Coturnix japonica: one gene and its partner. The protein of the gene in region 1 interacts with the protein of each later gene in a pairwise test. Links are inferred from orthologs where the notes say so. Each region holds a gene or a part of one and is shown in the gene's direction. Other genes may lie near its edges.

Region 1 (15,329 bases):
TTTCAAGAGGTGAAATTCTGGATATACAGCCTTGTATACAGAAGGGTAGTTGTGTTGCCTTGTTGACACTGTAATTAAAACCCTGAGAGCACATGTTCTGTTGAATGTATAGCTACTAATAATTTGTTGCTTAGGTGTTTGGAGAGTTATCTGTTCTGAAATATCTGAGGATGAGAGGTTTAAGTTTTATCTTGTGAGCAGGAAAAAGATAGCAATATTTCTCAGTACTTCCTCTAAGTTAATTTAACACTTTGGTCTTTTAAAATATAGTAGAATTCTACTATAACGCCAAACACTGCTACACAATCTTTAAATAGGTGGTGTCTGGAAAATGTTCCGTCTAAAAATTGGCCTTATTGACTTCTATTGAAGTGGGCCTGTTTTAAGTCTTTGACCTGCACATTATTCACACAGTGTGCAATTTTCCCCCTATTCCCAGGGGCACCGAAATCCCAGGCAGTGCCAAGAGCTGTGTATGTACTTTATTTTTTCCCCTGACCCTCCCTCATCTCCACAGAGTGAACAAATTAGAAGTCTCAGTGATTAGTTGGATAGCCTCTGTTCTTACTGGTTCAGCTTTAATTTGCTTGCAGCATGTATTTAGCTTCACAAGCTGTTGGTTATTAGTGGGAAATCAATGAGCAGGATTTTCTTTCCTGGGCCATTTTCCCCCTACTCCCCTCCAGTTTTCCATCTCTTCCTTGTCTCACACTGCAGATGTTTTCAAACCTCTGCAATCCCTGGTGCGTAATGGTTTTACATGCAAACGGTATTTCACAAGCTTGCCTTGCAGTGATGGAAGTGACCTTACAAAGTGCAAGGCGGTAGTGGGGGAGGGAGCAGGTTTGCTGTCTCTATTTAGAACAAGGATACTCAGGGTAATATTTGTTTCTGGATTTTTGGGTCCCTGGGATCCTAACCCGCAGTCAGAGTAATTTCATATTATCTTACCAGACAGTATCTCCAATTCATCTATAAATGTTTTCAGTGTGAGAGAGTTAACAGCTGGTAATTGCATACTGCTAAGGGGTTAGAACAGCACTGAAGGCTAAGGGATTAGACTGATATTTTTGCAAGAAGATAAATGTTTTTATAAATAGTATTTCTAAGCCAATTCTAGGTAAATTGCTTGACGTTGCCTTGGAATTGTGATAAATAAAAAGTAGGTATGTTTACCTATGAGTTAAACCAAAGGAAACAGACAAACATGCATTTCTATTTGTAGCAAAAGAGCGTATTTGAGCTGTGTGTTCTGTCCAGATTGCAAGTGTGTAACGTACATACTTATTCTGTAGTTATGTTGCTGTTTGTGCTCACTGCTTCGTGGAGGATTTCTGCAGGTGCTCTAAGAAGATGAAAGTGACTTGTCAAGCTCTCAGTACCTGCACTGACCAGCTGCTGCTGGTGTGGAATTCGGGTGTTAATACATGCATGTTTCAGGCCATCACAAGGGTGTCCAGGCTGTAGGTGTAGGCAAACCAGCTAACAGAAATTCATCCATAAGTGAAAGCATTATGAGACCCGTGGATGCTCTTTAGCTTGAGCCTTAGTATAAGGAGGAGAGATTCATGCTTAAAGTGAAAAATATTTCAGTAGCAAGGTACAGACCTTAAAGTAATAAAAAGATGGTCTTTGGATTAGCTACTGTCTGGCTCCATATGAATTAGCTGATGCATAGTAATCAATGGAGGCATCAGCACATCTGAAGCTTCCCCTCTCTCTTAGCAAAGGGTGGGAAGTGGGGAATGCTTTTTGTGGTAGGAGGTCTGCAGTGTTGGGGCCTCGTTAGCTGAGGTCATGCAGACAGTTTGCTTTGTGTTTTGGCAGGTTCAGCTCTGAGGGGAAATTCTGAACATAAGCTGAAAACTGAAGCTGAACTTCTAGCTACCTGCTACCTTTTCTGGGGACATGTATATATGTAATGGGGACTTCTAGCAGGCTAGAAGCAGTGCTAGAGCTGAAGTCCACTCAGAGTCAGAACTGGTTTTCCCTGAGGAGTTCTGTTTCGGTACTTAGTTGATGTACTTGCATTTATCAATACTGACTGCTACCAAATAATAGCGATTTAAGTGCTGTAACCTTAGCCTATGGGCACTTTGTGAACTGTAGCATGATATTCAGACTACCTTTGCATTGTGTGCTGGCAATGACCTTTGCTTGCTCTGGGTGTTTATTTATATCATTTGAAAGGTTAGGTGTCCTATCTTTCTTTTGCTTCCATGAGATTTATTGTCAGGCTTTTTGGTGGGGATGGGATTTTAGGCTTTGTTTGGCTTTTTCTTCTTCACTGATAGCTGAGGATGGACTCTTTTCTAAAGCATAAGCAGACTAAGTTGGGGTTGGCATAGGAAACTGCTTTCCCTCCAGGATAACAATTCTGTTCTGTATGTTTTGTGAGAGTGGCTGAAACAGGCACAAAGCAGAGCCATTCCAGGAACCAACAAGCAGCAAGTGATAGGACCTTGCGTTGTTGATTCATCAAGTCATTTGTATAAGGAAATAGTGAGAAGTGGTCTAGAAAACCAGCTCTTGACTTTGCTCCTGAAAGCCATCTCATTACAAAATGATGTGTTGCTGACATTTCTGGGTTTCTGGGAATAAAAAGCAATTACTGATGCAAGATTAGAAAGGATTTGAGCTGTAATAAAGTTTAATGCTACGAAGAAACTTCATAATGTTGTTGTTATTTTTTTAACCTGATCCCTCTGCCTTTCTGTAGCAGTGAAGGAGGCTGCCTCTGAGAATGATCTCTATGGGAGACTTTTTATAAACAGAGTTTTCCACATCACTGCAGACAAGATGTTCGAAATCCTCTTCACCAATTCTCACTTCATGCAGAGGTTTCTCAATTCCAGGAGCATAGTAGGTAATGTACTCTTCTTCCTTCTGTCCGTGTTGCAGTTTACCCTGAAAATTTCAACCTCTGAGAAATGTTAAGGAGAACTGAGTTGATTTTTATTCCTCCTGCTTTAAAAGAATTTTGCAGCTCTGTATTTCCTCTGTGGAAGTAGACATTAAAAGCTAGCTTGTTTCTGTAGATCGATCGTGCTTCTGAATTAGAACTTCATTTAATGGTGTTTAAGAGGAAAAACAAAAAAAAAAAGCCCTGCACTTGATGCCTGAATTTTGAGTAAGATATTAAAAATGTTGCATTCTGTGGGGTATTTCTGATTCCATTGTGTCCCAGAAATAGTAAAATCTGTATTGCTGGCGCACAGATGAAATTATTGCAGCCTCTTAAATGTTACTTGCAGGCTTTAATTTTCCGGATGAGTAAGCTTTATTCATTGAGATAATAAGGTAAGAAAACTAAGTTAAAAGGGTAATATTCATTCAGTATTAGCTTGGAAGGCAAAGTTGCAAAAGCTTTTGAATATTGCTAAGTGAATCTATTGAACTTCCAAGCAGATGGGAAACAGCACGTTTTCATTTACTTGCTTACTCTTCTCCGCACCCTGAGCCTCTTTCATTAGACTCAGATTCAGCTACTTACTGACTCACTTTTTGCTCAGTTAGTGAACTACAGTTTTCCCTTTTCCTGGAGGAATAAAGAAAAACTACAACTAACTGCTTGAAGTCTGCTTTTATTTTCCCTCTCTGCACTGTTCTTAAACTGCAGTTTAAGGTATGACAGGGCAGAGATGATGCCTTTTGGGTGACCTGCATGTGCATTTGCATAATTTGTCATTTAGATGCTGTATCAACCCCTTGGAATAGAGATTCCAGTGGCAATCAATTGAGGACTTTGACATACACTGTAACAATTAACAATCCACTCTGTGGGAAGTTTACGACTGCAACTGAGAAGCAGGTACTTGTCTGTATGTGTGTCTGTTTGGTGCCATTTGAGCAAAGGAGAGCTGTACAGTCTGTCAGATCTGATCATGGGCTGGAGTTCATTGAGCTGAATGTGGATCTCCAATTCAAATGTAATATCTCAGAAGGTGTTCTTTTATCCCTTTCACTATTACTGAATAAGTACTGATTAAATCAAAGGGGCATTTGAACTTCAACATGGCTGAACTTCTACTGAAAACTCTGGGGAGAGCAGTGTTGACCAGTTGTACGAATTAGAGCAGTCAGAAAAGATGAAACAGAGTGCATTCAAGAGTCCAGTTCTGGGCTCCCCAGTATGAGAGAGGGTGGTGCTACTGGGAAGTGTCCAGTGAAGAGCTAGAAGATAAAGGGTTGGAACAGTAATTCTATGGGAAAAAGGCTGAGAGCACTGGCACTGGTCAGCCTGCGGGAGAGAAAACTCAGGCAGAATCTTGTTGATGTACATAAATACCCGAGGGAAGAGTAGTAAGAAGATGGAGCCAAGTTCTTTTCAGTGGTGCTTGGTGCCAAACCAAAAGCAAACCTCTGTTTCTTACAGAAGTTATAGAGTCTCCTTCCTTGGAAGCCGGATGAACATAGTCCTAGGCAACCTACTCTAGTTGTCCCTGCTTGAACAGGTGGCTTGGACCAGATCTAACCTTAATATTTCTGTGCCTATGGCTTGGGAAACATAGCTCACAGCTCAATCCCAAAGAACTGTGGTCAAGAGTCAGTGGCCAGTCTTGCGTTTGGTATTTGAAATGTCAGTGGAGAAGAAGAATGGTGAACTATTACCTCCTGTGCTGGGTCTGGTTGGAGACATCCCACCTCACTACTCTTACCATTCTTAATAGACTTCTGTCACAGTTGTTCGGTCTTTCTATCTATTCCAGTTCACTTAGAATTGGCTGATCCAGCAGTTCTAAGCAGTTTGGTTTGAAATGAAGAAAAAAAAAATGAAATAAAACCCATGAATACAGAATATACCCATCCCTTTCTGTTATCTTTTGTGGTAGATCCTGCATAAGCAGAGCCAGAAAGGTCAGTCTTATCAGGTGGATGCTGAGGTGCTGACCCACGATGTCCCCTACCATGATTATTTCTACACTGTGAACCGATACTACATCAGCCGCACGTCCAGTCACAAATGTCGATTACGGTGAGCCTGAGTGGTGTGCAGTGGGAGGGGAGGAAGCAGGTTGCTGAAATGTGCTTACCAAAAGATCTTCCTGCAGCACAGAAAAGGTTTGTTTTCTATTGAAGTTGGAAATCTCTTCTGGGGGAAAAAAAGTAAATAAAAATCTTGGTTTATCTCCTGTCATATGTCTGCTTACACTAATAAGAGATGATCTCTGTGGCTGTGGGCTGGTTCTGCCCAGCCTTATGGTTTCAAGTGCAGTCATATAAGTGAGATAAATTAGAACTGTGCCAGATATTTTCTAACAAAGTTTGAGATACCCTCGCTAATGGCCTGCATGGGAGAATGATTTTACAAGGTGAAGAAGCACACTCATTGTTACAGAGAGGCAATTCAAGCAGATTAGGCATTGTTGTTACTATCAGGGTAGGTGGAGGAGACTTGAGACACTTCCTTCTCTTCTCCTGTTGAAAACACCTGAAGTGATGAAGTTACTTGTCCACTGCATTTGTGTGACAGACTGTATTATCTTTGGTAGTTTTTCTTCAAGTCTTTTTATCTCAAACTTCATCAGAACATAAGGTAAGGAAAGGTAAGCAAGCCTAATTTTCCTTCTGGCTTATCCTTGGCTATAAAAGTACTGAAGACTCCCTCCCCCACTGGGTTGAAAAAGGAAAAGTCCTTGAACAGCCACTCTGAATGACTGAGTGAGTCATTACTCCTTTTTGATGGCTTTATTTGTTTTATCTGAGGCACGAGACAACCCTAGGATAAGTGCAAAAGCCAGGGTTTGACTATAAGTAGCATGCTTATATCGAACAGAACGTGCATGCTAGTATTACAGCTGGCTTTATGCTGTTTGGAATGGCTCAGAAATTTATTGAAATATGCTGTTTTGTTAGAGTAGGAGCTTGGCATGCATATGCTGATTGGGATGATTAAATGAAAAAGCTGGAGAGAAGCGTGTATTCCAGTAAGGTTAGTGTTCTTCATTTTAATAAATAAAGATTGTGGACTATAATTTGGTCCCTTTATGAAGAGCTTTGGGATTTGTTCAGTTGTTAGAAGCAGCCCTCTGCAGGGTTCTAGTTGAGTGCTTTTCCATTCTAGAAGCATTACTGACCAGCATAACCTGAGAAACACATCAGGAATGCCATTCTCCCTGTGTTGTGCTCCTTTAGAGACAATTTAATTTATCTACTCAAGGTAGGTTCTTAGTACTGGATGCGTAGTTGGTAGTGATGAGTTTCACATGCTCATATTGCTGTGCCCCACATATTATATCATGAGTGCGCATACAGAGTAAAAAGCGGGGCTTTGCAGGGCTATTTCAAATGCTTGTTAAAATCAGAACAGTTCACAGAGGAGAAATTCAGGTTGAGAAACTCTGAACCTGAAGAGAAGACAAACTTAATTTCTTTCCAGTGATCTGGACATTCAGATCTCCTGAGGCTTTCACTGGGTATGTTGTCTTTGCGTGCATCTGTTTCTCGCCTCACTTCAGTGTGAGAGCTGCTCAGGTGGAAAGTTGAGACAGCTCCAGTTGGTATTTCAGGTATATTTCAGGCAATGGATGTAAGCTGGAGGCTTCTCTCTGAAGAGAGATTTCTACTATCACTGTGCTACCTAACAATGCACTGTGTATTTTCCCTCTTTTCCTTTTTCTTCCTTTCTTCACTGTTGCATTCTGTTTATTAGGGTTTCTGCAGAAGTAAAGTACAAAAAGCAGCCTTGGGGCCTTGTCAAATCTGTAATCGAGAAGAACACCTGGGGAGGGATACAGGAGAACTTCAAACAACTTGGTGAGGCATTTTCTTCTTATTACTGAAGTCAGGAGGCTACGTTTTTTCCTCTGTGTTTTTTCACGTATGTCAAACTTGACTCTTTAAATAATGGTTTGAAAAGAAGGCAGCATACAAAAGAATCTCCTGTCATCAATATACCTGTCAATTCTGGAGTGTGTAAACATAAATAGCCGTGGTAGCCAAAAACTCCTGTATACCTTGTCAGCAACTGCTTTCTGAAGGATGCATGAGGAGCGGGAGGAAAGCTGTTACTCTCAACTGTGTGCCCCTGTCTTTAACACAAGTATTTCCTTGCTTGTGGGTATGAGAAGAAGAGTAGTGGCACTTGGCAGGCTCCTTGGCTATGTCTGTTAACAGCCTGGCCAAGCTCTGGCTGCTGGCTCGCAGTCTAACACAATTCTTAGTCTCAGTCTAACAGTGTCTTGAAGTGTTCTTCCAACTGCTGCTTAACATGTCATTAAACAATCCTGCATAGACTGAATATAGATCATATCTGAAAAGTGTACAAGCGCCATATAGCAAAGAGGACAGACTGTGTAGGTTGGGATGTGGTTTATGTCAATTACCTGATTTAAGTTCATCTGGAAGATGCGCTTTTTCTTCTCATTACCACCACATATATATATCACTTACAATTTAAGTCACTAGGGCTAGGCTTTTCAATGTTCCTTTCCAAAGTTCAGGAACCTTATTTTTCCACTACAGAATCAGAACTGCTAATGGAGGAGTATGCAATTAACCAGTCTATAGAAGACTCTGGAAAATTAGTCGCCCTGAGGCGAAGACGACGCACTTTACACCGGAGTCTGGCAGAATCACTTCCCAAACGCTCTTCCCAGCACTCATCTGGTGACATGGGGCTAGAGTCCCAGGGTAGCATCATAGGTAGGAATTCTTACGTTCATTATTTTCTGTAAGGTTTGCCTGAGAAATTTTAACTTTTATAATAATGCAAGATAAGTGCTTGTGCGTATGCTGCTCTCGTCTTTATCTAACTGGTGTGACAGAAGATGTGTAGACTGTTCAGCCTTGCATAAAACAGACCAAGAACACACACAGTCAGCTATTATGTTGTTATATGTCATGAAATCAAACTTAATCCTACTTTCTCTGATATGAAAATGGAGTGAAATGCTAAAATTTACATTTTTTGGTAATGTTAAAGAGTCCATTTTCTGTCTCTTCTTTTAGCTTCTGGGTCACTGAAGCATTTCTTGGAGTACTTGTGCCGCTAAGCGTGACAGACTTAGCCTCTGTATTGTACAGGCATGTACAATATTAGCTACGCTTAAAGAGATGGGGAACATCTGGTTCACTAATGTTTACCAGAGAATGGTGGATTTTGTACCACTGTTCTCCGGTGAGATTACTTCCTGAAAGCTTAATTTTGCCACTCCTGCTCTGCCTTGGAGATTGTATTTCTCAGTGTATGCTGCAGCAGCTTTGATACATGTTCCTCATTTAGGACAAGGAATGTGAATGTAAGGAACTGTTTAGGAGATCAGCCTGAGATGGCTACAGAAGTGACCAAGTGCATCAAGTGAATTCTGGAGAGACTCTTGTGCACCCAAGTGTTCTGTTATGTCCATCAGAAGCTGTGACGCTATACTGTACAAAATGCTGAGCACTGATGTGTATATGCATTAGAAATGTTCTTCAGTTCTTTTTAACCACCTTCTCTTCCATGCCCTATAGGAAGGAAAAGAGATGCTATTAGTAGGACCACTACCATCATTGTAGTAATGAGTGTCTTGTAAGTACTTACTTGCATTAAAACATGGCTTAACTTGTCTTGGTCTTTATCTGCCTGTACCTACCTCACTTGCATGTTGACGTTTCTTGTAGCACAACCAATCCTAACCCATATGGAGTGTAAATACAGGAATTAGAAGAGAGGGGTGGATTGATTTCAGAAAGGACACACAGAATTAAAATGCTGGTTTATCAAGCTTGTCCACTTTTCAGGTCTCTTATGTCTGATCCTACAAAAAATCCTTAACATTTCTTCACTCCTACCTCTAAGAGGTCCAAGAGGAGGCACTGTTGTCATTTCCTACAGGTTGCATTACACAGCTTAAAGCTAATTGCTAAGAATTGTTTAGATAAATCTTTAAATTCAGTATAGCGCTGGGGCAGTTACTTTTGGCCCAGAAGGATTTTCTTTCCCTAGATGTTTGTAGCCCAGCTCTTCCTTCTGTAGCACTGTAACAGTAATAATATAAACTTTGTCTGACTTCATGTTTCTGGTCTCTACAGTTTGCTGCTCCTGGTTTTGCTAAATATAACACTGTTTCTCAAGCTGTCAAAGATAGAGCATGCAGCTCAGTCCCTCTATCACGTCCAGCTTCAGGAAGAGAGCTCGTTGAAGTAAGTGGAATTCACAATCTTAGCTTTCATTCTCCCTCAGTTTACTTCAGAATCTGATAGAAAGAAATAGATTTCAAACAACAAATCCTGGTGGTGAGTTCTAAAAAGCTGCTATGACTTGTTACTGTTCTGTGGTCTATGCTGATGTCTAGTGACATGTCTGATTGCGTCTTCCTTGGTAAAGTGTTAACCATAGCTTGCATTTATTACCTTCTTGTGACTCATCTGCTGTGAATATCATATTGCTGAGCACAGAACTGAATTACTTGTTTCATCCTGTGTGAACCAGCATGATCTCAAATATAACGCTGAAGATTCACTTAGCTTCTGCTTTTATGCAAAATTCCCTCTCCCCTTCTAACTTCGTGTTAGATGCCTTTTACTTTCAGGCACGTGGAATAGGCTCAGAAGTTGCTGCTTGTTATTTATTTGCCTACACTACTTGCATAAATCATAACCTGGTCATGATTATGGTGATCTCCCATTGCGAAGGTCTCAGAACTGATAGGAGTGACTTCTTTCATAGAAAGATTTGCAGGCTTTATGTGAGCACATTTGTTCTTGGTGATTGTTGTCTGTAAAGGTCTGAGGCAGCATCTTCAAGTCAAAAGGAACTGAAAATCAACTGCTGGCACCTTTTTCTGTGGCTTTTGGAAACAATGTTTTTTTAGCAATGTCAGAGTAATGGTAACAGAGCAACTCCTTTGGGATAGAAAGGCACAGAGGTGCTTGTTTCATGTTTCTGATGCAATCTCAATCTCTTGCAGCATATCCCCAGAAATGGGATCGAAAGAGGAGATCCCTCAATATGATAAGGAACAGGTTAAACACGTGAAGGGAGTACTAAGAGACTCAATTGAAATGCTTGAGCAGGTAAGTCTGCCCAGCTTTCCTTGTGATACTCATTTTTTTCAACAGCTCAAGTTTTTTTCCTTTATGCCAGAATAGCTTTTAATGTTTTGTGATACTAACTAAAGTCCACGCCTCTTTGGCCTCAGTTTTGTCCTATGCTTGAATCTGATGCAAAGGAAACGTTCATGTTTCTGATGGATCTTTCATGGGACTAAAATAAAACGTTCATATCAATTCTCTTAAACCTGTAAAGTGCCTTTATTGATGGGGTCTGTTGATGCAGTTCTGAGTCATGACAAAGCAAGACTGGAATTATTCAAAACTGATCATCTATTCTCAAGACTCAGAACGTAACTACTTGCTCACCTCATCACTGGGTTTCTTCATGCAGGCTAATCTGAGCTATTCCTCCTTGCTATTGCAGAGAGCTTTTGTTTAATCACGGCATCAAAGAGCCACGTAAACCTTCAGTGAAATGCTGTTTGTATTTACAACCCGTGAATATTCTGGTTTTTAGCTCTTTTAATAAATCTTAAAATATGGCAGAAGAAATTAATAGATGAGGAAAGCTGTGGGGGAGTTCACATGTACCTCTATCCATCAGCAGTTGGCTCTGTGTTCTCCCACACACTACAGGAAGGTAGAGAAAAACACTTTTTTTTCCCCCCTATTTCTTGTTTAGACGTCTCTGCACACAGAATTGCTATTACTCTGTTAACTCTTTTGATCACAGCTCGCTGGCTGCTTCACTGTAGAAATGAATTGGTTTCTGTGACCTTTTGGGTTTCTTTGCCTGCTACCCAAGCAGTTCCAGTTTCTGAAGCATTATTAGCCTTTTTAAACACCTTTGGCTGCTGCAAGGGGCAGGAGCAAAGACTTAACGCATCATGCTCCCCAATTCTTTGTTTTCACAGCTCAAGCTCTCCCTTTCCATGCTCCAAAGAAGCTTCGATCACTTGAACAAGACACAGAGCAGCAAGACTGAGAGTTAATGCCCATGAGAGTTAATGTCGGCACCTCAGAAGAGAAGACGTGTGTTTAAGGACTTGTGAAGTAGGGACTGTAACCATCTTCGGACTCTTATTTTTTTTCTACTTTGTGGAATAAAGGTGGAATAAAGGGCCGTCCGCCTTCCTCCACCTGTTGCTCTGTGCCTTTAAGCCAGGTGCCGTCACGTCACGTCGGTCCCGCCCCTCCGGCTCCAGCATTGGGCCGCCGCGCCGTCAGGTGGCCGGGCCCTGAGGGAAGGGGGTCCCTCACCCCCCGCCTCCGCGCCGGGGTGTGGCCGGGGCGTTGTGCGGCCAATAGCGGGGGGGATCGAAGGGACGGGGCGGGGCGGGAGGCGGGGGCGGCCGGCAGCGAGAGGCACCTGCGGCGGGGAGAGGGGGGCGGGAGAGGGGCGGCCGCGCCCCGCTGCCTCCGTTCCCTCCGTTGTCTCCGTCGGTTCCGCGCCCTCGGGCCGGGACACGGAAGGAGGAGATGGAGGAGCCGCTGTGCTGCTGCGAGTACGTGGACCGCAGGGGGGAGCGGAACCACCTGGCGGCGTGCTGCTGCGACTGCCAGGAGCTGGACGAGTCCTGCGACAGGTAGCGCCCTCGGGGCTGTGGGAGCGGCCGGTCGGGAGCCGCTCTGTCTCCTTCCTTCCTTCAGAGCACAGGGCTGCCTTCTATATACGGCCGATGGGAGGCGGGTGTAGAGCGGCGGTTCGGCTCTCGTCGGCCGTCGGGGAACTTTGCGGCCCCTTGAGGTGAAGGAGGAAAGAGGGGCGAGCGGCCGTGAGTCAGCGGGGAGCCTCAAGGGCTGGGGATGCCGCTGAGGTACCCACGTCTGCCCGCCCGGCCGCTAGCGATGCGCCTCGCTTTACCCCGAACAGGTGGCTGAGCTGCAGGTCGCTGCCCCCCGGAGCGCTGGAGAGAATCGCCGACACTATCGCGGACCGGTGCCGCGTGCCGTGGTTTGCCGGGGCCGTGAAGGTGAACGTCAGCCTCGTGCCGCCCATGGTCCTGCTCCCCGTCTTCCTGCACGTCGCGGCTCTGCACTTCTTGCTGGGGCTGGTGGTGCTGACCTCGCTCCCCGCCGTGGTGCTGTGGTATTACTACCTCACCCACAGGAGGAAGGAACGGACTCTCTTCTTCCTCAGCCTGGGACTGTTCTCCCTGGGCTACATGTACTATGTCTTTCTCCAGGAGGTGGTTCCTCGAGGCCACGTGGGGTATTCCCAAGTGGCGCTTCTCACCTGTGGGCTAATTCTGATGCTGGTGGCTTTATCCAGAGCCAAGAAAGACCCTGGCTACCTTCCCATCTCGACGGCTGATGACAAGCCATCGCAGCAGGCTTTTCCCAGCAAGAATGTACGAGGGAGCTCCAACGGGCTCCATGGAGCTGCTGCCAGCGGCCATTCTGTGAATGGGGAGAGCAAAGGCCACTCCAGAGCGCTGGCTGAGGGGCGGGAAGGTGTGAAAATGGACTGGTGTGCCAAGTGCCAGCTGGTCAGGCCGGCCCGAGCGGGGCACTGCCGGCTGTGCGGCAGGTGTGTGAGGAGACTGGATCATCACTGTGTCTGGTACGTTTGGCTTTGCCAAAGGCATGTGCTTTTTGTTGCTTTTCTTTCTTTTAAGTTGGGTGGGTTTTTTTCTTTTTTTTTTTTTTTTTTTTCCCCAGATCTTATGAAGTGGGGTTGCTTTTCATCTGTGTATCTCAGAATCACAGAATGACCCGTGTTGGAAGGGACCTCAAGGATCATGTAGTTCCAACCCCCCTGCCTGGCAGGGCCACCAAACATACACATTTACTAGATCAGGTTGCCCAGGGCCCCGTCCAACCTGGCCTTGAACACCTCCAAGGACGGGGCATCCACAACCTCCCTGGGCAGCCTGTTCCAGGGCCTAACCACTCTCCTAGTGAAGAACTTCCCCCTAACATCCAACCTAAATCTTCTCTCTTTTAACTTAAAACCATTTCCCCGTGTCCTGCTATTGTCAGCCCTTTCGATCTATGTAGGGGAACCCAAAGCTGTCATTGCTACAATATTCTAACCAAGGAGCAGTGAGGTATGAGTGTTTCAGCTATTGGTACCTGCAGGTTGCTGGAGTACACAGTTGCCCACTCCTACCTTACTGGTCTATTGACTTGTGCTTAGAAGCTTTCTATAAAAAGCTATAAAGCTGCTTTGAAGCTTCTTGTGTTGCAGAGAGACCTTAGAAATCAGGTTCTCTGGTGGCTGGGGGAGGGAAGAGGAAAGAGAAGCCAACGTATTTTTTCTCTCCCCTTGAAGTAATCTTTTTTTGCTTTCCCTTTTTGTAGGATTAACAGCTGTGTAGGGGAGCAGAACCACCATGCATTCATCCTTGCACTGTTGTTCTTCATGCTCACCTCCCTGTACGGGATTATGTTAACTCTGGACACCATCTGCAGGGGACGAACCCCATTCACAGCATTGTTCTACTGCCCTGGGGCCTATTCTGACTACAGGTGAGAGAACTGGGTGGGGAACTCAGACCTGACCAGGCAGCTTAGCTCCTTAGCTATTCTTCATTGTGTTCTCAGGACCAGTGCTATTGGCCGTCAGGCCTGATCTAGAAGCCCTTAAATGGCTCTGGAAAGCAGGGATGCATCTCTGCTTTTGCCAAGGATGGGGGCCTGTGAGAGAGCTCACAATTTGAGCAAATTGCTGGAGAAGCCAGGACTTAAAAGTCTTTATTTACAGCGTCCTGTGTAGATAGACACTTTAGGTGTTTGTTGCCAGCTAATGCCAATAGTCCAACAGACTGGAATCAGTGTGCTGTCTCATTGAGGAAGGAGACGGCGTTTGTCTAATGGCTCTGTCACTTCAAGTTATCTGCTCATACAGCATTAACATGCTTTGTCTGGCTGGGAGCAGGGTGAGGAGCTTCAAACACGTGTTCAGAGACTCGTTCTACCACTGCTGTATAGAGTACAGCAGCAAAGTGACTGCCTTCTTCTGTACTCCATCACCTGTCAAGCGTGAGCACTATTGTTTCTTTAAGTAAGATCTTTACAGCAGTAAGAGTGAAGCACTAGGTAACACCAAAGGAATGTACAAGAGCAGCTCTGGTAGTGCTAAAAGCTGTCATTAAGTATGCCACAAAGCTTTAATTTTGAGAAAGCCTTCAAGGATTACGTGATGAAAGCAGCAAAGTGAGATCACTGTGGCAGATGTAGATAGGGATTTGAAAGGGTAGTGATTACCAGGGAAAGTCACTGTAAAGCAGCTGCTCCAAAACTAAATGGCTTCCTTCCCATCTTTTTCCCTGCTGCCAGCTCTGCTCTGTCGTTCACCTGTGTGTGGTACTGTGCTATTGTAACAGCTGGCATGGGATACATCCTCCTTATCCAGCTGTTGAACATCAGCTACAACGTGACCGAGAGGGAAGCTCGGCTGGCTCTGCGGGACAACGCTGGGCGCAGGCTTCTGGGTGGGTTAGTGATAGACACTGGCCAATATAACAGGGGCTTTCTATGCAACTGGGGCCATTTCTTGAGTCTGGGTTCTCCCCCCCAGCAGCGCTCTGCTGAAGACATTGTGTGACACCCTTTTTTCTGCAGATGACGTTGACTGACTTTCCTTAGTAGGGGAACGGCCCCCTTCCACTAGAACTTCCTCCTCCACATCCTTCCTTCGTGGTCGTGGTCGGTGTATGGGCTGCCCATCCCATCGCAGACATCAGAGGCTTTCCCAAGCAGAAACGGTTCTTTGTGTGCCATCAGCCAGCAATAGGATGCGGAAAGCAGTAAAGCCATATGCACAAACCTGGAGAGCGGGAACCCGCTGCCTTTCTGCACCGTGGGAAGCTTTGTGCAGCCCGGCAGGAAGAAGAGCGCGAGGTTATGAGAACTTGAGTTTAATTAGGTGTGAACTCTGGCATCAGGGGGAACCTGCTGTTGGATTTCAGACTGTATGCTGTGTCTTGCAGCTTAAGGGATCTCTGGTTTGTATCTACGTTCAATGCTTCTGTGTTATTAGAAGAGTGAACTTTAATATATAGAAAACGGATGGACTGGTGCAGAAGCCATGCTGTTGAGCTGGAAAACAAGGAGTCTGCTCAGGCAGTCGCTGAGTGCTCCATCATCTCTGGTGCAGTTTTCTTTTTCTTCTATCCCATCCAGCTGTATACGTGCTATTGCTTGTATTAAGTGCCTTTGTGAGCAACATTCCTGTAGGGCATTGTAAGATCTTCTCATCACTTGACCCGTCTCTCTGACTGGGTGAGAAGAGTGTCATCTTTGATCTCATCATTCTTTTTTGTAAGCTGAGTTTGTGTTGGTTTGATGGCTTGTCTCATCTTCCTCAAAACATTTCTGCTCTGGTAATGGATTCTGACGTGAGACAG
Region 2 (16,681 bases), on another chromosome or scaffold:
TCAAATATGGAGATAACTTAAGCCTTATTCTGCAGTCTTACTATGATGATGCCCTAGTGGAACATAGGGGGAGTTTCAGCTTAGATAATGGGCTCCAGGAGTTGCCTAGGAATAACAGGTGGTAGTATAGAGACCCTATGGCAGCAATGAAAGCTGCTTAACCACTTACAGTGCCTTTCAGGGAAGTGATGGTTGAGTTCAGGATAGCTCATCAGATGAATAGTATCAAATAGAAAACAAAAAGGTTTTAACCGAAGTCCTGCCTAGTCTTAAATGTAGTTTGCCCCATTAAGCTGTTGGAGTTTTCTTTTGCCTTCTTATTTTCCAGAGAAGAACTTCTTCCATGCCTTTCCTCTCCTAGCATCCCAGCTGTACACAGCAACCTACTGAAATAGATTCCCATGGTTTAAGCTTCCCTGCACAAATCCCTGGGGCTGCTTGAGGAACGGCCCTTAAATGAGCTTAAAAAGCATATTGTGGCAGCTCCTTCAGGGACCCTAATCCTGCTGCCACTGAAGTCAATGGCTGTGCTCTTGTTTTGTATGATCTGGAGCAGGACCTGCTCCAAGAAATGTCTGTCCCTCAGTGGAGGCTCTGGGGTGTTTTGCTGTGTTTCTTTTGCAGGAGGGCATTGAGGATGGAGCTGTGGTTTTTCTGCTTGGAAATAAAATGGATACCTCAGGGAGAGAGACCCGGAGTGTACCCAAAGTGGAGGGGGAAAGGCTGGCCAAGGTGTGTCTCTGTGCTCTCCTGCTCCACTTGCTCTACAGCCTCCTTCCAGCTGTGAGCTGGACTGGTGGAGAGCCCTTCTTGAAGCCATTTCCCAGTATGGTGCTTTCCCTCTCAGCCCTCACTCTGATACAAACATGTACCAATGTTCCTCTGGTACCTGCCCTGCTTTCCTCCCTTGCTGCCTCTATTTGTGTGCCTGCTGCTACCTTTATCCTCTCATCTCCGAGGACCCTGTGGGGAGGGTTTCAGAAGTTTTACCCATCCTTTGGACTTAGCAGGATGAAAGTAAGACAGTCCACTTATCCCAAAAGGATGGTGTTTCTTCCTAAACACCTCCCACTTGTTACCTTCCTGACGTTCTATCTGGGCCTTCAGTTGCTGAAAATGCATCTCATGTTCTGGTAAGGTGGGTACAGCAGTAGCAGCTACGTTGCTGGCCACATGTGCTGTCATTAGAGTTTCTATTGTCAAGGTGGGTCAGTGCCCGGGGGTGTGGATGAATGCTGGGGGAGAGCTGGCAGCTGACTCTGCTGTGTTCTTTGGCAGGAATACAAGGCTGTCTTCTATGAGTGCAGCGCTATGACTGGCTATAACATCATGGAGCCCATGCTGCACATGGCCAGGTTAGTGATGAGAACAGTCACTCTGGGGTATTTCCCCAGCTGCAGTTCACTGGTGGGCTCCTAGGGAATGGACAAGAAGAAATGCTGTCAGACGCTGACTTTATGCTGTGTCAGTAAATAGACCTGGAGCAATAGGTTCTTCCACACTGACTCCACAGCCCTGTCTTCTGTGGCTGGAGAGTACCAAGCATAGGCTGGATGTCATCACATGCAAGTCTTCCTCTGGCAGAGCTGGCTGCTGAAAGATCAAGAGTTTAACTTGAATATTACATCACAAAACTTGGTGTGCTATCCCAAATTTTAAGCTGGCATTTTCTATTTGCAATCTACATGCATCTCTAAGGAGCGGTTCATCCATACAGAACGCAATGTTTTGGAAGTAATATGTTTATTGCTGAGGACAAGGAAGGATAAAACACCTTATAAAGCTGAAGGAAGCTTGCATTAAGATTTTTAGTTTTTCAAAAAGAACTTGTGTTTGTTCTTTTTTTACTCTTTGAAATCTTGTAAGAAAAATATCCTTTTTGTTTTCTTTTATCCCTCTCCCTCCTGCTGTATCACCTCTGTTAAGCTCACAGCAGGACTTCGGTGTTTATTAACTGTGATGATTTAAGTAGATAAATCTTGTCTCCCATAGCACGTGCTTTCAGCTCATTTTATTACCGTGCTGCTGCCAGGCATTGCTCAGAGAAGTGAAGAGAGCAGCTTGAGGTTCTACCATCAGTGCTGGAGCTTGGAAACAAGTCTCAGGCCACTCGTGTTCAGTCTGGTGTTCTGAGTACACCACGCTGCTCCCTCTTGTCCATGTTCAGTTCCTTCCTGTTTCTTTGGAAATTCACACTCATTTTCTGTGTGTGGTTTATCTTGTTCAGCTGCCAGAGGCAGCCTGGGCACTTTTTACAATCCTAAACAGCCTGATGGCTGATGGGAGAGCAAAGGGCACAGTCAGATGCCACTGCAGGAAGAGCTGAGTAGTTTGATTTTGTTCTTGATCTGTGCTGCCTGTTCCAGGTTGCTGACAGCACAAGAGGACAGGCAGAGGGAGAACGCCCTGCAGCTGGAAGATGTCAGGAGGAAAGGGTGCTGCACATAAGGAGCATCGGTATGTCGGCAAGAGCCAAGTGTGGGCACCATTTCATGAAGCTGGGATTCCTTCTGAGCAAGTTGAATCTGCTGGTATCTGATCTGCAGAGGTTTAGGGAAGCTGCAACTTTTCCCCATCTGGGAATTTCAAGGCTCTGAATCAGGGCAGAACGTGCATACGATCTCTACTGTTCCCTTCCCTACCTGCATGTCCAGCCCTGGTCATTGGAGGCCTCTGATCTCTTGGGGGAATTTGGCAGCAGCATCTTTGTTCTTTAACAGCACAGTCCAGCTGACAGCCTGCTGAGGTAGATAGGGAAACCTTTGCCTGTACTTGTAAGATCTGGATCAGGCTCTGTACTTGGTGGGAAATCTGGTTTGACTTGCCAACATTGTGGATAACTGATTCCATATGTGGATATAGCATGAACTGCTAAAACCATTCATCCCACTGGCCTTCTTCACTGTTACCCTAATGAACTTAGCTACTCTCCTCGTACTGTTCACAGAACACAGAGCAGTTGCCTTGGGACTCTCAGGCAACTGTTGTGCTGGCATGTATTGCTGTTCCATAACGTGTTGTGGGAGCTGTGCTGTATCTGCTGGGGCCATGTGTAGCCTGTTTTAAGGCTGAATGCTGCCTGTTTCCTCCCATTCTTTTATTCTTTCCTGAAAGGTCTTCAGCAGTTAGGAGTGGATGTATCCGCAGTACTGAAATATGCACAGATCCCACCCTGCTGGCCTGACAGCAATGCTTTGAAATGTACTTGGGCTGGAAGCATGAGGCGGCTGCCTCAGCTGCAATGGGTACATAAATGCATAGGCCTGTATTTATCCACTCTTTCCTCTCATGGGATAAGGCGATTACTCTGGTTCCAAATAGCTGTTTACTGCACAAATTTCTCTGGGAATATTCCATGCAGGAAAAGTGTTCTGAATCACTTGCTGCATTACACAGACTTTCCATGGTTCCTCCCAGTGCCATTTACTTCTGGTAAGGAAGGGGAAGCTTCTCTGTGGAAGAGCCAGGTTCCTGATTTAAAGGAATAGCCAAAAGCATTAAGTGTCTGCTCAGTACTTACTGCTGACTGTGATTCTTGCTGTTGTACAGCTGGTGGATTTAACTGCACTAACTGACCAGGAAATAGTACGTTATAAGAGGTCCCTGAAGAAACTAGGGCTGTTGGTTTTGAGCTTAGGGTAACATCAGCAGTGCTGCCAGTGAAACTGCCTGTGTTTGCAAGGATGCTTGGGAAGTGAAATCTCTGTTCTTGGAAAACACAAACCTTTAGACTGCCCTGTACCAGATGATTGCCCAAATGCAGGTGTGGATTTTGTGCATTCTAACCAATGCAACCATGAAGAAGCACAGACACTGTTACCTGCTACATCAGTACAGCTCACTAGCTGACTCGGAGGAGCTGCTGTCAACGATTCATTTGCATCGTGCTCCAGTGGTGGGTTAACAAGGGCTGGCAATAAGAATTGACATCTGAAGTCTGGGCACATGGATAACACCAAAATTTACCTGCAACAGCTGGGCAGGAGTTTGGAAGCTGCAGCAGAAGACAAGCGTGGTATCTTATCTGCTAACATGGTTTGAATGCGCCACTCCCACACTGTGTAAAAAAAACACATGAAAGATAAAGAAGTAAAACACACCTGGCACACAGGTACCATACAGTATGTGGTAATTACCTTCCTCCGCACTGTCATTCTGCTACAGGAGGAACTACCACGTGTTTAGTTTTGTTTGTTTTTGGTTGGTTGTCCTTAATGTACAGTCTTGAGGATGTTTTCTTAGCGGGCAAGGAGTGTGCAGGCAATAAAGAAATACTGTCGTGCAAACGGTTGTGTTGAATTTCTTTTCAGGAGTTGCAAGAGATTCAGCCTCGCTTGATTGAGTTGCCTGCTGCAGCATGTAGTGCTCAGGAAGGGCTGAGAAGTCTGTTCCTGGTGTTGGTACATATAGGAGACTTCTAAGTAACAAGCAAGGAGTGGACAAGAAACACTTGTTTCCAGAGAAGCACAGGAGCAATTCATCTGCTGTCATCTCTTTTCTCTTTAAAGCAGCCAGGATCTGGATGATCAGGGAAGGCAGAGCAGAGGGAACTAAGGAGATGCTTCCCCAGAGCCTTCAAACACAGCACACTGTCTCCTTGTATCTATGCTTAAAGAACTAGACATATTTAATAACGCTCATGCATCCTGTTCACCAGTAAGGAGTTCCATAGCTCTTAGTCCTCATGCTCTATATTTATTTCCATACGTCACTGCCTTACAGAACTGTCTATCCATAGCTCTGGCCGCAGAAATTATTACTCATTTCCCTTGCTGTAAACAAGCAGCACCAGAAGTAGCGCGCTATGACTTTTTTTAGCAGGAACAGGGTGAACTTTTGTTTTGCCTATGAAAAAGTGGCACAGAGGTTACGCACTTGGACAGCAGTCAGCACTAGGGTGTGTTTTATACTGGATGGTGTGATGGTGTTTTAGTGGTTTTCTGGACAGTATTTACATTTCCTATTGGAAGACCCAGATACTCACAACCAACAGAAGCAGAAGAGCCCTTGGATGAAAATGGATGTAATGGATGAAAAACAGACTGCCTGAGGGTTTATTGCTGCACTGCATTGGCTGCAGTCTCTTAGTGGACAGGTGACTTTTTGCATGTAATCTATAAAGAGAGTATATTTCTTACAGCCTGGAAGCCTATCCTGGCACATGCAGCAGTGCAGCTGTGTATACAATCGGGCAAGGAGCAAAGAAGAAAAAAAAACCAGCTGCTCTGACAAGCCCCCACAGTCCCACAAAGCTCTTGCACGCAGACAAGGGGACCCTCCTTTGCCTTGCATTTCACTCATCTCTTTCATGTTAATATGCAAAGGATAAACATAACAGGATTAGCCTGACAGCACCTCTTTGGCAGGCCAAAATAGGGATGAAGAGAGAGCATTAAGCTGTGGTGCTAAGTTTAAAGCTTTCCCACGGGACGAATGAAGGAAGTGCAAAGGCCTTGGATGTGTGTTTGTACCTGTGACTATGACAGGTGAGACACAGGCAGGAGAGCTCTGGGAATGATCAGTGGTATTGCGAAAAAGCCCCTATAAGAGGTTAGATGAGGATCCTGAATCTCTGCTGTATTAACACTACTGCTTCTACTTTAACACGTTGGGGACATGACAGCATCTTCCACCCATCTCAAGCACCGCCTTCTTGTGGCTGGAGGCTCAGTGGGGTTGACACAGTGCCTGGAAAGAAACTGGGCAATGCAGGACCCTTCTTGCAAAGGCTCATCATCAATCAGTGATACAAAGCATCTGCACCCAGCTTTTGGCTGTGGCTTTATGGGGTGCCTTTGCTCTTTCCAGGCAAGCTTGTTCCTCAGGTGCTGCACATAGGAATTTCACAACTGCATAGTGGCTCGCCAGTTGCCCTAGAGCCACTTTATTCCAGCAGCTTAAACTCCAAGAGATCCATCCACACACATTTAATCAGTCCCTTTGGGTCTCTCCTGGATTATTTTCTATTCTATTACCCTCTACTGTTCATATTTTTTCTCTCTTTTTGCTACTTAATTACTTAGTCCGTATGTAAAACAAACGCTTCATGTCTGGATATAGATGTATATTGAATACTTTATTTGAAAATCTCTTGGCTCCAGTAGATCCACAGTACTGCAGTTCAGCACTTTGGTAGCTCGTTGAGCTGCTGTCAGTCTGCTCATTACTTATCTGCCTGTTAATGAGCCATGCTGAAATTTCACTTGGTGCAGCTACAATAATCTGGCTCCAGACTCCTTGGGCCCCCAAGGCACACTTTAGACATCTCAAGCCATGCAGTTTAATACAGCCTGATTCTGCGAACAGAAGATTAGCTGCTTGCTTCTTTTGAAGTGAACAGGCCACAGTAGAACTGGCTAGATAAAATTAGTTGTTTTTTTGAGGTAAAGAGATAGCTAATTAAATGTTTACAGAGGTTGCATTTGCGCAGTTCTGAGCAAGAGGTCCTGGTGTGGTGGGGGTTGGTCACTTCCCCTGGGTAACAGTGATAGGATGACAGGGAATGGCCTCAGGTTGTGCCAGGGGAGGTTCAGGTTGGATATTAGGAAAGATTTCTTAGAGGAAGTGGTGATGCAGTGACACAGGCTGCCCAGGGAGGTGGTGCAGTCACCATCCCTGGAGGTGTACAAGGAAAGGATGGATGTGGCACCTAGGGATGAGGTCAGTGCGTATGGTGGGGATGGGCTGGGAGATGGACTCAGTCATCTTGGAGGACTTTTCCAACAGAAATGGTTCTATTTAGTGACTGGGTACATGGGTCCCTAGTTAAGCCAGTGGAGGCCAACACCCCGTAGGCCCTCATCTGGCCTTTTCCCTTACTCTCTGCTCAGCTCTCACCCTAAAAAGCTGTAAGCCCACTGAGGGGAGTAGGTGGGTTCTCCCTTCCTACAGACCCCAGCAGGGCCGGTAACTGCGGTTTTTGGACTGAAGTTGCAATGAGGTAATGGAAGCATGAGGCAATGCGCCAGTCAGGGCTTGATCTCGATGTGCAGGACGCCTCTAAAAAGGGAAAGGCTCGGGAAAAGAAGAGCTCGCGTTGTTCGCAATGCGGTGCCTGCGGCGATGGGAACGGCGGCTGAGGTAAAGGCGGCGGGAGCCAGAGCTCGCTGCTCCAGGGCCGCGCCGCTGGCACTGCAAGTGGACACAATTCGGGGTGCTTTGTTTTGCTGTAAAAGTGGTTTATTTTATGATATTTCTCAAAGCCGAAGGGGCACCCACAGCCCACGCCAGCCGCCGGGCGGGCCGTACTTGAGGGCTCGCTGCCGAGGCACCGCCCGCTGGGCGTCCCGGGGCTGTGCCGTGCCGCCCTCATCCCGTCCCTCCCCGCTTCCTGCCGTGCTCCTTTCCCTCCCTCTCTCTGCTCTCGGCAGGTCGGGGCTCGAGGCGGAGCGGAGCACGGCGGTGCGGCGCTGCCGCTGAGGGTGAGGCGGGGAGCCCCGAAATGGCGGACGGACGGACGGAAGGACGGGGTGTGAGGGGGAAGCGGCGTGTGGGACGGGGAGGGGAGAGGGGGGAGGCGGCGTGTGTGTGGTGGCCGTGGTCTCCGAGGGCCGACTGTGGCTTTGCAGAACTTCCCGCAGGCTTTTCCAGTTCGAAAGGTGTTTTCGTGTCCTGCCCTTAGTTAAACTTGTAGGGCTGCTCGAGGCAGAGGATGGGGACGGCGGGGCCGACTATGAGTCCAGGCGGTGTCCCGTTGCCTGCACGTGGGGAGCTGTATCGGTGCTGCTGAGGTTGTTGCTGTGCTGTGTGTCCCTCTCCCGGTAGGCTTTGCTTACAAAGAATGCAAATTGCCGCACGTTTAACAGCAAAGTAGAGTCTGGTTCTTCTCGAGGACATCGATGCTCAACCTGTTGCAGTATCCTGCTGTATTCTGACAATTACTTAGCGCTAGAAGTTTAGGCTAGCCCACAGCATCCCTTAAAGCGCCCTTCCTGCATCTCCCTATCTGCCTTTCTTGCTATAAGAGCTCAAGCGGTGTCTGCTTGAACAGGAGGTCACTAAATGCCATCACACACCAGAGCTGGTGACCGGGGCAGCCATTTTCTTGAACCAGTTTTGAAACAAGTCCTTTTGTCAAAACACATTTCTATTGCCATGGGTGAGGCTGTTGCTTAGGCTCCTAAGGGATCTTTGGTGCTATAGATGCTGTCTGGGTGTACCTGGAGACTCTCTCAGACAGACGTCCTTCTCCGTCCTGCTTGACTATTACTGCTATCAAACGGTGATTGCTTGAGATGAGGAGGGCATAGCGTGGCTCTTTTGAGCTGTTACAGGCTGAGGTGAAGAGGAAAGGAACTGCTTCAAATATGTCTCAGCACTGAGCGACTTTGGTCTCAGTAAGTCTGGCCATGGGCAAAATGAGTGACAGGCTGAGCAGGACTGCTTGGGCATGAGAGGTGACTGAGTTCACTTAAAGCGAGTGCCTGGTAGTCCTTAACATAAACTGGGGTCTGATTTCCTAGCATAGCCCCAGGCTTTCATGACTAAGGGAGCTTGGGAATACTTGAGGCAGCATCACTTAGAGTTTACTGGAGGCATCTGATGGCAGGTCCCTGTCAAAGAGAGGTGTCCTGCATGTGTGGGTCTTTGCTCTGGCTCTCTATAGCTGCTCAAAGATGCTGGTATTTCAAGTCAGATATCCTTGCTGAGAGCTTGGGTTGTGAGTGGGAGCAGCTGGCAGCCTTTGAGCTCCTCTGTGTAAGTATCCTGATGTTACATCCTTGCTCTGTAGTGTCCTGATGCCCTCATGTTCCTGTTATGGACATCTTTTTGTCCGTATGCCATATTTCTGCAAAAACATCTTGTTCTGAAACTTCAATCAGCTACTCAATGCTTGTTAAATAATAGCCTAATTACTTGGTAGAGTCCTGTAATGGGGGAGAATCACTGGTCTCAGTTGCCTGGTGAAAGTCCTGGCAGTCCCTGCTCTACGTTGGCCTCAGTAAACAATAAGAACATATATTTTCTGTTTGTTTGGAATAATGTCCCATGTGTGACAGTCGTTCATGTTTCACTCTGGAGTCCAAACTGGTTAGTCCTTCCTGCTGTATGTTTTTGTTTTGCGTGTGCTTAACAACCACATTTCCCTTCTCTCAAGGCAGGTGTACTATGGGAGGACTTACTTTTAATGTCAAGAGCAGAGCGCTGAGTAGGAGGAGCTTTGATAGCCTGATTGGAGCTGTGGCACTCCTTCTCTTGAACCCATTACAGAATCCATCTTCTGAGTTACCAAAGAGCACCACTCAAAAAAAGATCCTTCATAGGTACTTTGGCTTGTGCAGCCTTATGCAGAAGGAAAGCACCGTGCCAGTTTGAAAGCGAGCAGGAAACAGGCACAGCAATTTGGCCTAAGTCTCTGAGATAAACATGACCACATTTCCTGCCCTTCAGGGTTTTGCTCAATGATTTGTGCTGTCATTAGCGCTGTGTAGGATGAACAGCAGCAGCCCTTTGCAGCGTTGCTTTTCCTTTTGCTGCCAGGTAGTTCTACTAAAAGCAAAACATGGCTTGTTCTGTCAGACTGCAGCATGGCACGGGGGAGATGAACTGCCTCACTTCAGTCCCATTGACTGCCAACCCTTTGCAGCTTGTGCAGCATCAGCAGCTCTGCTGATCAGTGTGAGATTTTGTGGCTGTGACCCCTGCTAGCACAGTTTGGCACGCTGTCCTGCCATGTACTGCCTTTGTTGCTCCTGCTTGTCTGCAGAATTGCTGTGTTCCTCTCTCTTTCCATGGCCCCTTTTCTTCCTCCAAACAGCAGACGACTAATCCAGCCTTAAGCGAGTGCTGCCATACTGCTCTTGTGCTGGCTTACGCTCCATGTTGCTTCTTTGTGAGTACATTAAAGCATACATTGTCCAAGTCCTGGCTCTGCAAAGGACATTTGTGTTGTGGCCTCCTCAAATTTTTGCCATTGGGTGTGAGAGATTCTTCAGCAAGGGGGTGGAAGAAAGCTGCTTGTATCCCTTTGTGAAGCAAAAATGCTATAGGTGGGGGTGGCTGATGGCATGGTATCTATCTGTTAAGACGGTTCCAAGGAACATTCCATATTATTCACAGCTAGTACTAATATAGTATACTGTATAGTGTATTATATAAGTATAGTACAAATCTGTGGCTGTTTTCTTTGCACATATACAGACCAAGGAACAATTCTCTTGTTTTGAGGAAGCCCTGCAAGGCTTGTGAGCACTGTGTCCTGTAGTTGGTTGACCACTGGTAAATTCGCTTCTGTGAAGCCTGGCTTCTGTTTCAAACAATCTTGTCTGGCATTTCCAGGTCTCTCATAATGCAATCATGCTGTTCCTGTGATTCTTCTTGTGCCTTCTGCCTAGGAATAAAGCTTTGAAAGATAAAATGTGGAAGTACCAAATGTGAAAAACAAAAAAAGGGAAGCTTTGCTGTTTCGTGTTCCAGTCTACTGCTGCTGTCCTTAGTGGCTTTGTCAATCTGTCTCTTTAAAGCTCATGAACAGACCCTCCTGCACTCCCCAGCTGCATCTCTGCTCCTGGACTTGACACTGGGTATCTCCAGCTGCTCCCTGACCGCTTGTACCAACAGCTGAGGTTGGAAGACTGGAGGGAGGTTGTCTCCTGAAAACTACAGTGCATCCTTAGCTGTGAGGAATAGCAATCAAGTCTAACTGGTTGTTTAAAATCTAAATCCTTCTGGTGAAGACCAGGTCTCCTTCCTTCTCTCTTCTTCACCTTTCCTTTCAAACTCTGAGCACTGTTTTTCTCTTGCTGCAGCAGGCTGCGCTTTGGCAGAGCTCTCCCCCAGAGCAGTGACCATCACTCCAATCTGGTAGAAACTCCCCTTTCCTTGTGCCTGAAGCTCGAGTGCAGAGGGAAAAACTGGAAGAGAAGGGCTGCAGGATGCAGATGAGGTGATTTGTCAGGTCTGTGGAGAGCACCTTGCACCATCCCTCCCTCCTGAGGGCACAGAAGACATTTGCTGCCAGCTCTTGGCAGACATCAGCACTGTAATAGCAGCACTGATGAGCATCTCGGCAGTGCTCTGCTCCTTCCCGCCTGTCAGGCTCCTCTGCCTGTGATCTCAACAGCCTGGCATCCGGGGGAATGTTTTCAATCAGTCCTATTAATCTTGAGTCCTGGCTGCTATACCGTCATAAAATTCTAGGCAGCAGAATGAGCAGGAGGATAATTGCTGTTTTACCCTCCTGATATTTCATGCCAAAATAAGAGAGGTGGGAGCTGTGTTTGTATGTGAGCGGCTCAGTCAATGTTTCTCACACCAATTGCTCTTGCTAGTCAGGTGCTTGTGGTTCTTCCCTGCTGGCTGGACATGTGCCAGGGGTAGAAAGGATGTAAACTTAAGTAGCTGGTGGCACATGTATGTGTGTATAGCGTGCACTTTTTGATGGCAGCAGTGCTGGATGGTAGTGTTGCTCATCTAGAGGGATGGGAAAGGACATCAGGAATTAATATTATGCAGAGGTTAATGGAATGCTTAGCAGCTATATAACTTCATTTGGATATTTTGACCCGCAGCAAAGTACAGACAAACACCGTAGTGAGCCCCATGGTATGAACTGTAGGCTGCATCCATGCGGGCTGCCACTGAGTTGCTTATCATACCTATTGCTGAGCATGAGTGTAAAGGCGAGAGTGCATCCAAGTGAGGATGTGGGAAGCAGCGCGGTGAGAGGAAACAAAACAGATCTGGGGAAAGGCCAGAAATGAGAAGTGTGGGAGGTGTGAGGAGGGATGTCGCTCAGAACCACAGGTTGTTCCTGCTAGTTCTCCCGACAAAGGCCCATTATTGCTGAGCCAGAAATAGGTGACATCAAACGCTTGGCACTGGCTGTTGTTTCTTATCTATTGTTTGTACTGGGTCTGAATGCAGGAGCAAAGTTCACTTTTGCAGCCCAGGGAAACAGAACAGAGCAGGGGGAGCTGGGGCAGCAGAAAGAGTTGCCAGGCTCTACCTGGATATCTGTACTCAGAGTTTATCCCTGTAGCTGCGGAGCGAAAGGTGCATGCTCCTATGAAGCTGTGTGGTTGTGCTGAAGTATGCAGCAGGTTTCCTATATGTCTTTGCTGTCAAAGGATTGGGACAGGCTGGAAAGAAGAAATACCTTCTGGAGATCTGGATGAGCTGAGATTATATCTGATACTTCACCGTAGAACACTTCCCCCTTATGTGGGAGAAGTAGACAAGAGAAACACCAAGAGGCTAATTACTATTTTGCACTCCAAGTACTGTGTGCCAGATGGAGTTGGGGTTTGGGGTCTGAATCGTGTTTGGGTATGACCAGCTTGGTCCATGTTTCTAACCACAGTTCCTCTGCCTGCTCAGGTGGTTGTGGTTCTCCCATGCCAGCTGGAAGAGTGCAGTGCAGGTCTGTAGGTGTGTTTCAGGTAGCAGTGCAGTCAGCTCGATGAAGTGTAGGTGGCTCCTTAGAGGGATGTAAGCATAAGAAGCCACTAGTGGAAGCAGATTGTTGGTATTGTGGGCAGTCAGGAAGGTTAACAGCTTGGCAGCTGGTCAGATACAAACTATGGCTTACCAGCCTCATATACACAGAGGATTTTAGGCTTGTGCTGGCTCTGTTTATTTAGACTTTCAGCTATGTACATCACCCAGCAAACTGGTCACTTGTGAATGTAACTGGACTGCAAACAATGGATTATTTGACTTTTCCATTGGTTAAATTCACTTCAACCAAGAGGTGTCTGGGGTGGGAGTTTCTGAAGGGGGGGGGGGGGGTTCTGTTGTGTTTGAGCCTTGATGGATCTGTTGTCTGCTAATCTGCCAGAGCAAAAGCAGCAGTGTCTGCGTGGTTGTTTTTAGAGTGCTCTGTTCCTCAGTGACCTCAACAGTTCAACATTAGAGGAAAATAAGGGGGAAGCACAGATCCAGTCCTTTTTGCACACTGTGGGAGCCAGCATGTGGATGCCATTCATGCTGGCATGTCTGGCATGCCAGCCCGTGAGCGTGGAGGAGGCAGGCGTGAGTCACGGCTTGTGAATGTCAGCATCTCTTCTTAGCTTTAGTGGAATCCAGAAGGGAGGAATTCGTGCCCCCATATCATCCCCCATGTTGCCCTGGAGACAGAGGTGATGTTTCTTTTTGCTTCCTGGTGGCTGTACGCTGCAGGCTGAGCTCCAAGGGTGACTGCAGGGAGCCGCCTATGCGGTCCATCTGTTTCTTAACTATAAACTCCGCACGTGTTTGGGGAAGTGTTGGGCTTTGTGCTTGTCAATACAATTCGTTCAGCACAGGAGGGGTGGGTCTGGTGCAGTGTGGGAGCACCTCTTTCTATGTCTGGGGAGGAAGAACTGTTGGGCTGCTAACTGCTGTGCCTCTCAGTTGGGACTTGCTGCTGAGAGGGGAGTGTACAAGTGTTATTGCTCAGCTCCTGTGCTGTGCTTAGGGAATGAGTCTAACAAAGCCTGCTCTGTTCATTGCCTGTTTGTCAGGGCTTTCCTCTGGTGTATTCCCAGGCAGGAAAAAAAGGGAATTTAAGCCACTATACTTATTAGAGGGGTAAAATCCATTGACTTCCCAGGCTGTTAGCCTTGGAGTTGGTCGGGGTATAGGGGAAATGTGGGCCTTGATGGTTACTCCCATTTCTTGAAGTGTTTTTTTTGAGTCCTCCTGGTACTGGAGAGTTAATCCAGTTTGTCCCAGACAGGTAGGATGGACTACTTGAAGCCTTTAAAATTATAACCTTTAAAATAGAGGGAAGTCAAATGAGATTATATGGTCCCTCTAGATGTGAAAATTGGCTCTGCCCGGGGGGGGGGAAGAGAGTATTAAGTATCAAACTCCTTTTAAGAGTTCCTGTAACAAGGCTTGCTCATACGGTGCTGGAATCACCTGGAGGTGTGTTGATGGAGGCAGGATTTTTCAGCTGCATCTGAAGAACAGCCGTGGTGTGCTGACACCTGTTAGAGGAACAAGAAGGTTTCTTACCATTTTCTTACCCCTTCCTGTTCCAATTGAAGCAGACAATACCGATGGAGACCTGCCAGAGCCCAGCGTGTCTGTGCTGATGATAGCTCTGCTCCCTTCATGAAGTCACCGTCGGTCCTTTGCCTGTAGTTTAAGTGAAGCAGCGTGGATTACCTTTGTGTGAGTACCCAGTGCTGCTGTGAGCAGCTCTAGCTGATGGCTAAGGGTGTCCTTTACAGCCCTGCTGGAGTGTGCTCTGGGCCTGGGGACTGCTTTTCTGCCTTCAGCCTTGGCGAAGGGCCAGCAAGTAATTGCCTTGAGGACAGCCCTCTCCTTCCAGTTATTTATTCACATGCTGATGCTTCCCTGTCAAGTTTGCAGGCCGATCTAAAAATAGCAGCATAAATGGCTCTGGTGGAGTCCTTGAAGCCTGTTGTACAGGGGGAGAAACGTTGTATTTTTGGCTGGGGATTGTTTGATTTTTGCTGAAAGAATGATCCTTCCTCAGTGCAGCCTCATGCAGTGTGGATTGGGTGTTTTCACTATTGCTTCTATGGCAACTGGAAAAGAGGCAGCTCCTATGGACTGGGCTCTCAGCTCCAGAAAATGAAAAGTCACTTAATTTGCCCTTGGTTGTGCTTGATATTTGATCTGGCACTAGTGGAGTGTTTTTAGCTCTGAAAAGGAATAGAAGAGTCTTTCAGGCTGTGAGACCGTTGGACTTTGTGTCATTGAGAAGCAAGGGACGGTTACATCAACCGCCCATCCCCTCTTCTAAAAACTGCTGGTCATGTTTTTGCATTTAAAATCCCAAGCATTCATTTGTGAGCTAATTCATTTATTGGTTTGGTCCTAGGACTGGCGTGGTGACAGGGAGGGGAGCCTTTGTGTGCATTGCATGAAAACACTGAGGACCCGGTGGTTTTGCTTCTGAGAGCTGAGCTGCAAATGACAGTGTAATTAATAGGAGGGGATCAGGAGGAAAGCTGATTCTGCACAAACTCTTCTGTTTAGAAAGGTGGCTTAATGCTACTGGTAAATTCTCCAGCGCAGACAAAGCCCTGCTATTGAAAGCAGAACAAAACCCAGTGCCAGGGAACAGAGATGGGAAAACAGAATTTATAACATCAATGGTAGGCTGCAATGAACGTGGTTTGTCATGTCTGTTGGTTAACTCCGACCTGTCTGAACTGTTGTTCCTTATCCCAGCAAACTCTCCTTGCTGGGAGCTTTCTGCAAACACAGCCCAGCTGCTGATTTCTGGCACTTGGAGTGCAAAAGAAAAAAGGCGGCTATTGTTCTACCCCTCAGTTCAATGACTGGTGAAGTGGTTCCTGTGTGTAAATAGTGTAGAGTGCTAGGGCATCCTTCTGAATAAAGGAGGCCTTATTAGATACGAGATGATGTTGCTGGACACAGAAGGAGTTCCCATTAATCATGTGCTGGGTGCTGCTCTGTGGGCTGCCTTCCAGCTCCTGCCACAGCCCATGTGTTTGGAGGGGTTGATTTTTCTTTCCCCCCAGGTTATTGAGTGCTGGGAGCAGTGACCTGGGGCTTTCCGAGCTGGGGATGTTTTACAAGGGCTGGAAAGCCCTTGTAAATTCTTGTTTGTTTCAAGCAATTCTTGTTTGTGTTGTAGCAGAACAGTTCCGGAGCATAGTCACACTCCTGGGCATGTTTGATTGCTCTTTCTCAATGTCTTCTTCTCTCTTTTTTAAACTTTTTTTAATGGTTGTGAAATCATTTTAGCATTAAGGTCCCTTTTATCTTTAACAGTCATGCAGCAAGCCTTCGTCTCTCCCAGATTTGACCAGCCCTCTTGTAAAACTCGTTAATACACAAGTATGCCTGTGGTGCTGAGCATAAATATCCTCGCTAAGTTTGAGGTTGATCTCACTGCTATTTTTGTTTCGGCAACTCCCTTCCTTGTGCAGTACAGTCATGGAAGAAGTCAGAGGGACAGCGAAGTGATCTGAGAGACAGCTCGTACTGAAGAGCAGGTGTCTCCCCAGCTTTAGGCACGTTGTTCTTCATTAGATACCTGGCTTCTATCCATATAAATGAGAGTTGAGGGTCTACGTCTTTTGAGGGTTATATGCAAAATTAACCTGTTAGAGCCTGAGTAGAAGAAAGGAGAGAATCAGAGATTCTCTCGCAGAGAGCAAAGGCTGTTTCCAGGCTGTTCTCTAGGGAATCTCATTTGAGTTCCTCCTTAGGGAGGAGAGCCTTGGACTCAAGTCTGTTTTGCGTGTCTCCCCTTTGCCAAGTATAAATGAAAATTCCTGAGAAGAAGCTGCTTTGCCTCACTGGATGCCTGGCTCCTGTTCTGCCTTATCCACTGCCCCCGAGGCACAAGTACGTTGACTTTCCAGCATGTTCCAGCATGCTGTAATGGAAAACAAAACATTCAGCTTTGCATCCTGGGTCAGTTTTTTCTTTGGAAAGGAGTGTGGGAGCGGCAAGAAGCTGATATAACAATGGTACTGCAGCAAGGCTGCTTTGGGATTGTGTCAGCCCAGCCTCAGCACCAAGGGTGTATCAGAGCTATTGCTTTGCAGGTGACTGCGTTCTGCTTTCCCTCCTCACCCCAGCTCCTCAAGAAGTTTTCTTGTCCAATTTTCATTGTGGGATTTTGGTATACAGCTGTATGGTTTGAGTGTTGGGATTTCCACTGTTTCTCTCAAAAGATTTTTCATGTGGTCTAGAGGCTACAGAGTAATGCGAATTAACAGGTTTCTGGTTCTTAGTAGAACGTTCCTGTTCA

The links.
Region 2: the proteins of GRAMD1C (region 1) and CD151 interact in binary tests that used the Homo sapiens proteins (3 or more experiments, as listed by UniProt). The link is inferred for Coturnix japonica from reciprocal best matches to the Homo sapiens genes GRAMD1C and CD151.

What each region holds. Positions count from the first base shown.
Region 1 is NC_029516.1:74,437,000-74,452,328, reverse strand, and holds the end of GRAMD1C (protein Aster-C), read left to right. Parts: intron 1-2,719; coding exon 2,720-2,866; intron 2,867-3,692; coding exon 3,693-3,811; intron 3,812-4,832; coding exon 4,833-4,975; intron 4,976-6,652; coding exon 6,653-6,756; intron 6,757-7,464; coding exon 7,465-7,644; intron 7,645-8,454; coding exon 8,455-8,512; intron 8,513-9,015; coding exon 9,016-9,126; intron 9,127-9,893; coding exon 9,894-9,999; intron 10,000-10,892; coding exon 10,893-10,970; 3' UTR 10,971-11,117; downstream 11,118-15,329. Other genes in the region: palmitoyltransferase ZDHHC23, read left to right, coding at 11,458-11,564, 11,852-12,541, 13,282-13,449, 14,260-14,527. UniProt on the Homo sapiens protein: Cholesterol transporter that mediates non-vesicular transport of cholesterol from the plasma membrane (PM) to the endoplasmic reticulum (ER).
Region 2 is NC_029520.1:8,905,971-8,922,651, forward strand, and holds the start of CD151 (CD151 antigen), read left to right. Parts: upstream 1-7,308; 5' UTR 7,309-7,421; intron 7,422-7,452; exon of another isoform or gene 7,453-7,469; intron 7,470-16,681. Other genes in the region: CRACR2B (EF-hand calcium-binding domain-containing protein 4A), read left to right, coding at 625-732, 1,279-1,355, 2,367-2,448. UniProt on the Homo sapiens protein: Structural component of specialized membrane microdomains known as tetraspanin-enriched microdomains (TERMs), which act as platforms for receptor clustering and signaling.